Linked DNA regions of Macaca fascicularis. The protein of the gene in region 1 purifies or fractionates together with the protein of each later gene. This does not show direct contact. Links are inferred from orthologs where the notes say so. Each region holds a gene or a part of one and is shown in the gene's direction. Other genes may lie near its edges. The genes, in order: EEF1A2 and VARS1.

What was found.
Region 2: the proteins of EEF1A2 (region 1) and VARS1 purify together in Homo sapiens (co-immunoprecipitation; 3 studies listed by BioGRID and IntAct, counting the BioPlex papers as one, with this or other methods). This does not show direct contact. The link is inferred for Macaca fascicularis from reciprocal best matches to the Homo sapiens genes EEF1A2 and VARS1.

The regions. Positions count from the first base shown.
Region 1 is NC_088384.1:119,612,315-119,616,127, reverse strand, and holds part of EEF1A2 (elongation factor 1-alpha 2), read left to right. Parts: intron 1-289; coding exon 290-469; intron 470-1,200; coding exon 1,201-1,497; intron 1,498-3,025; coding exon 3,026-3,176; intron 3,177-3,813. UniProt on the Homo sapiens protein: Translation elongation factor that catalyzes the GTP-dependent binding of aminoacyl-tRNA (aa-tRNA) to the A-site of ribosomes during the elongation phase of protein synthesis.
Region 2 is NC_088378.1:139,937,380-139,940,305, forward strand, and holds the end of VARS1 (valine--tRNA ligase), read left to right. Parts: intron 1-83; coding exon 84-290; intron 291-361; coding exon 362-473; intron 474-605; coding exon 606-931; intron 932-2,272; coding exon 2,273-2,341; 3' UTR 2,342-2,417; downstream 2,418-2,926. UniProt on the Homo sapiens protein: Catalyzes the attachment of valine to tRNA(Val).

The DNA.
Region 1 (3,813 bases):
GAGCGGGCGACTCCCAGGCCCTCGCGCCACCTGCTGGTGGATGTGCGTAGCCGCACCCATTCCGGAGCCGGTGCAGAGGCCGGTCATGGGGGGCAGGGTCTGCGTGTGGGGTCCAGACGGAGGGGCCGGCGTTCCAGGACCCCGGCGGGGAGCAAGCGGGGGCTGGAGCCCATCTCCCGCCTCCCGCGGCCACTCTGCTGTGACAAGCAGCTCGCACCGCCAGGGACTCCCCGGGTCCCAGGTCTCGCCCTCACCTGTGACCCTCACCCGTGACCCTCACCTGCTCCAGATGGGGAAGGGATCCTTCAAGTATGCCTGGGTGCTGGACAAGCTGAAGGCAGAGCGTGAGCGCGGCATCACCATCGACATCTCCCTCTGGAAGTTCGAGACCACCAAGTACTACATCACCATCATCGATGCCCCCGGCCACCGTGACTTCATCAAGAACATGATCACAGGCACATCCCAGGTGAGCAGGGCACAGCAGGTGGGGCTGGGGAAGAGGCCGCTGCACCCCTTCAAGGGACACTGGGGGCCCCTGGGATCACTGGGGTGGTGGGGTCTCCTGTGCTTCCTGTGAGGGCAGGGGACCCCTCACCTGGGCCACCCCTCACCCGGTCTGGGTTAGAGCCCCCCCAAGAAGGAATCCAGGGCTCTGGCATCTGACCCAGTGCCTGTGAGGACACCCAGCCAGTGTCAGAGTCCCCAGACAGACGGGGGCAGATGTGGACATGGACACACCTTCATGCACAGAGGGGCTAGAGGCCAGGATGGGGACAGTGAGCAGTGGGCAGAGGTGCCACCAGCCAGGCCTGGACTGTATGACATTTCAGGGCACTCACAGAGATGCACGGGCACCCCAGACACAGCATCCTGCAGACAGCAGGACACATGCCACCACCTCCAAACTGCTTTGATAACTGTGACCTCAATCTGTCCCCAAGTGAGGAACAGGACCAGAGAGGCTGAGTGACTTGTCCAGGGACACACAGCCCACTGGTGGTGGAGCCAGGGTTGAACCTCGGTCCCCTGACCCATGGCCTGGCGATGAGCCCCCCACACTGCCCTTGAAGTGGGGACCCCCATGTCTCCCTCCCCAAGGCCCCAGTGGGCTGCTCAGGCCCCAGCCCACTGCCTGGAGAGGCCTGTGTCCCCTGCTGGGCAGGTGGGGCGGGGCTCACTGTGTCCCCCGCTGGGCAGGCGGACTGCGCAGTGCTGATCGTGGCGGCGGGCGTGGGTGAGTTCGAGGCGGGCATCTCCAAGAATGGGCAGACGCGGGAGCATGCCCTGCTGGCCTACACGCTGGGTGTGAAGCAGCTTATCGTGGGCGTGAACAAAATGGACTCCACGGAGCCGGCCTACAGCGAGAAGCGCTATGATGAGATTGTCAAGGAAGTCAGCGCCTACATCAAGAAGATCGGCTACAACCCGGCCACCGTGCCCTTCGTGCCCATCTCCGGCTGGCATGGCGACAACATGCTGGAGCCCTCTCCCAACGTGAGTGGCGGCTAGGGCGAGGCGGGCCACACGGGCTGGCTGGACCCCCTGCCCCAGAGCGAGGCACCGGCAGGTGGCAGGGGGAGGTGGAGGGCCTGTCCCAGGGAAATGCAGGTTCCCCACGAAACCTGCTGGGTTTCCCTAACTGGCTCAAGGCCCGGCGGGGAGCCCCATCCCCCCTCAGCACCAGGCTTTGCTCCTACACTCAGCCTCCCACACGGCTGGCCAGGGCCAGGGCCCATCCCCGATGTCAACACAGCAGGGGACAGCAGTGGCCTCCAGCACGGCCCATGTGCCTGGTCTCCAGAGCCCTGCCATGGGGGTGGTCGGTTTCATCTCTGTCAGGCCATTGTCCTGGCTCTGGAAAACATGCAGGGGCTGTGGGCTGGGCCGTGGGGGCCTCCCCGGTTGCCTCCCCTGGGGTCTTGGAGCAGGGTTTGGCTTTGGGAAGTGTGCATGCTTCTGGGCTGGCTGGGAGGGCTAAGGGTTGGCTCTTGGCTGGTCAATTGGGAGCTCAGCGTGCGAACAGTCTGTGGCCCAGGGACTCTGCCTTGGCTGGAGATGACGCGTAGAGACACTTGGAGAACCTGAGACTGTGTTCCAAGGGTTCTCCAAGCCAGAGGAGACACCAGAATGGCCGCCACTAGGCTCTGCCAGCAGTGTAGCTGCCAACAGTGAGGGTACAGGTGTGGAGTCTAGAGACAGCGGGGAGACAGACCAGCAGCACTGAGCCCAGCGCTGAGGTCTGGGGACAGAGCTGAGAGGGGCTCCCCCAGCCCTGCCTCCATCTCATGAGGCTGGGTGTTGTTTACCTGTGATGGCATTTTCCTCACAGGGTATCATGTGGCGAACGCCATTCTCCACCTCTCCAGGGAGGCCTCCAGCCATCAGGGAACCCACACTCCCCTCTGGCCTGAGCTGCTAGGTGGCCCATGCTTATACAGGCCCTGGGGGGCTGGGGCACAGTGCTGCCGGCTCCCTCCCCTGCTCCCTGTTTGTGGCAGGTGGCCCAGAGGGAGGCTTCGTGGGGTGGGAGTGGGGGCCGCACCAGGAGAAGCTCCAGACAGGGCTGTGCCAAGCTTGGAGGCAGCACGGTGTCCAGGAGCTAGGGTGGGGCAAGGCTCCCCCTCCAGCTCTGTCCCTGGCCTGGCCCTTGTCTAGACTCGGCATCCTCCTAGTCAAGTCACCTGCCCTGCCTAGAGCTGATGGTCAGGGGCCTGGGGCCTTCTGGGACTTGGGGCTGGACTGGGGGTTTGTTCACAGTGTCAGCAACTCCTGAGCAGCCTGGGCTGGGAAGGGTGCTTTACCTCTTTGTCCTCCTCCTTTTAAGAGGGATCTCCTTCCCAGGGTCCCTGTGATGCTGGGGCTATGGGCTGGGGAGGAGCAGGTTGGGGAAATTCCTCATCTTAAAGGGCATGAGGCAAGTTTAGCCTGAACAGCAGGATTCCTGGAGGCACCCTGGGGAGGCCTGAGGGTGGGGAGGCCACCAATGTCTCTGTAATGGACTGATTTTCTCCTTTCGGTCCAGATGCCGTGGTTCAAGGGCTGGAAGGTGGAGCGTAAGGAGGGCAACGCAAGCGGCGTGTCCCTGCTGGAGGCCCTGGACACCATTCTGCCCCCCACGCGCCCCACGGACAAGCCCCTGCGCCTGCCACTGCAGGACGTGTACAAGATCGGCGGTGAGCAAGGGCGCTGTGCTGGAGCTCCTGCCCAGCCAGTTCCGCCTGCCCTAGACCAGGGGTTCCTATGAGGCATCTCAAGACTGGGCTGTCTCCAATCTCTCCCCTTACTACACACTTTCTGGGGAAGAGTCCATCCCACATCCATCCATCCATCCACCCACCTCCTCACCCATCCATCCTCTGTCCGTCCATCCATCCATCCATCCATCCATCCATCCATCCACCCACCCACCCACCCATCCATCCACCCATCCATCCATCTCTCTATCCATCCATCCATCTCCCCACCCATCCGTCTTTCACTCCATTCATCTATCCATCCATCCATCCATCCATCCATCCATCCATCCATCCATTGTCCCACTCATCCATCCTTCTCTCTCTCCATCCATCCATCCACCTCTCCATCCATCCATCCATCCATCCATCCATCCATCCATCCATCCATTGTCCCACCCATCCATCCTTCTATCAATCCATCCATCCATCTTCCCACCCATCCATCCTTCTCTCTATCAATCCATCCACCTATCTCCCCGTCCATCCATCCATCCACCCATCCATCCATCCATCCATCCATCCATCCATCCATCCATCCATCCACTCACCCACTTCCCCACTCGTCCATCCTTCT
Region 2 (2,926 bases), on another chromosome or scaffold:
AGCCAACCCATCCCCTTCCCAGTCCTCACATGCACAGTGAGGGCTCAAGGCTAGCCGTGAGCCCTGTACCTCTCGTCCCCTAGGAGTGCCTAAAACCTGTACTGAATGGGGTAGACCAGGTGGCAGCCGAGTGTGCCCGCCAGACCCTGTACACCTGCCTGGACGTTGGCCTGCGGCTGCTCTCGCCCTTCATGCCCTTCGTGACGGAGGAGCTGTTCCAGAGGCTGCCCCGGAGGATGCCGCAAGCTCCCCCTAGCCTCTGTGTCACCCCCTACCCAGAGCCCTCAGAGGTATGGCATGGCCTGGAGAGGGGAGTCTGACCTGCGCTGCAGCCCCCCTCACCCCCTCCTCCACCCCACAGTGCTCCTGGAAGGACCCTGAGGCAGAAGCTGCCCTCGAGCTGGCGCTAAGCATCACGCGAGCTGTGCGCTCCCTGCGGGCGGACTACAACCTCACCCGGATCCGGCCTGACTGTGAGCCTCACGCCCCCATGTCCACCCCATCCCACTGTCCCCTCAGCCCACTCTGCGACCCAGTGTCCAGCAGTGACTGCTTGGTTTCCTGTCTCCATGGAGCTAGGCCTCACCTTTCTCCCTCTCTGGCAGGCTTCCTGGAAGTGGCGGATGAGGCCACGGGCGCCCTGGCATCGGCTGTGTCGGGCTACGTGCAGGCGCTGTCCAGCGCAGGTGTGGTGGCTGTTCTGGCCCTGGGGGCTCCCGCCCCGCAGGGTTGCGCTGTGGCTCTGGCCTCTGATCGCTGCTCCATCCACCTGCAGCTGCAGGGGCTGGTGGACCCTGCGCGGGAGCTGGGCAAGCTGCAAGCCAAGCGAGTTGAGGCACAGCGGCAGGCCCAGCGTCTGCGGGAACGCCGTGCCGCCTCAGGCTACCCTGTCAAAGTGCCCCTCGAAGTCCAGGAGGCAGATGAAGCCAAGGTGTGTGGCGTGAGTGGGCATTTCCCACACCATCCACTTCCTCCGTCAAAACCCTGGTCTGGGCTGGTCCGAGTACAGTGGTGTTGACGATTAATTGATCGTAACCAGCTACAGATTTCTTTGTTCCTTCTCCATTCCCACTAACCTTACAAAACAAAACAGCCTGGTTCAGTGCCTCACACCTGTAATCCCAGAACTTTGGGAGGCCGAGGTGGGTGGATCACTTGAGCCCAGGGGTTTGAGAGCAGCCAACATGGTGAAATCCCATCTCTACAACAAATATAGAAAAATCAGCTGGCCACAGTGGCACACACCTGGGGTCCCAGCTACTCGGGGGGCTGAGGTGGGCGGATTGCTTGAGCCTGGGAGGTCAAGGCTGCAGTGAGCCGAGATCATGCCACTGCACTCCAGCCTGGACAACAGAGAGAGAGAAGACCCTCTCTCTCAAAAAAAAAAAAAAAAAAAAAAAAGCATCCAAAACAAAACCCAAAATCCAAACCAAAACTTCCTGGTCTGGAAGCTGGACTCTGTACCCAAACCTGGGGAATCCACTGGGAAGCATGGAGCCCAGGAGCTTGGAGCAGGGACCATAGAATGCCCTTCCCTTACACATGGGGAGCAGCTGGGGGCTGGGCACAGCCCAGGGTCACACAACAGGTCGGAGATGGAGGCTGACCTAGAACCAGGCATCCTATCTCCCAATCAGACCCTTCATACCCCACCCAGCTGCCTAAAATGTGGAAACCCGCATGCCTGAGGCTAGGCTTGGGGTCCACGTGTAGTCGGGAGCCCTGGACCTCCCACCACTTACTTTCAAGCCTACCGAGCTGACCCTGGAAGGCCAGTCTCGTTTGTCCCCTGCCTCCTGGGTTCCGCCAGAGAGGAGTAGTATAGTAAGCTGCACAGACATGGAGAAAATCAGTCATGGAGGCCAAGAGCTAGAGAGCCTTGAGTGGACCTGGTTCATCTCACCTGGTTCTCCCAAGAGCCCTGGGAGGGGTAATATTATCGTCATCTGACAAATGAAGTGATTGGCCTGGGACCCTGTGCTCTCCTGCTTACGTGGGGACACTGTGTGGGGAGCATGGAGGCTCTGAGGTTCCTTTGTTCTTGGGGACTGACCACTCTGTGGAAAAAGGCAAGACCCAAGAGGTGCTGGTGGAGGTGGGGGTCGGGGTGCTGGCGGAAATGTGTGGGGAGCCACGCCAGCCAGGTTCACGCCTCCTCCGAGCTACTGACCTTCCATGGTCCTCGCTCATCTTTCCAACTTTGTTGTCCTGGGTGTCTGGGGGTCTCTTCGCTTGGACGTGGGTCCTCACCCATCCCCTGGTTCCACTCCAGCTCCAACAGACGGAAGCAGAGCTCAGGAAGGTGGATGAGGCCATCGCCCTATTCCAGAAGATGCTGTGATCCACCACCTAGCTTCCCCGCTCACCCCCAGCAGCTCACCATGGGGATGGCAGCAATAAAATATTTTCCCACAAAATCCTCTTGTCATCTGTGGTGGGGGCAGAGAGGGGAGCAGAGGGGCTGGGTGCCTGAATCCCTGGGGGTTGCAGGGTGAGAGTGAGGCCCTGGTTCTGGAGGGCAGAGGGGCGGGTCTGTCTGGGTCTGTCCCTGGCACTGTGCCAGGCCTGAGTCACGCTGCTCACTCCCTTCCTCCTCCCCAGCTTTCATTCACCTCCGCACTGCGGCCAAGGGAGGCCCGCCCTGCCATGGGCTGCTGCCTGTGGCCTTGGGCAGGCATGAGCAAAAGGGCCAGGGGGGTTGCCTGCCCTCCCCCACCCTGTGGGGGCCTTCCTCCCCCTCTACTGGGCCTCGGTTAATTATAACTCTGACCTAAGTGCCCTGTGACGTCGTGCCCGGGCCAGCCCTTCCTAGGAGACCCAGCAACCAGGTAGGGGAGGGCCTGAGAGGACTCAGGCTTCCTGTGCATGGGGAGTGTTTCTGCAGCAGGGCTGGGAACTCAGCCAGGGACTGGGGAGGGGGGCCTGG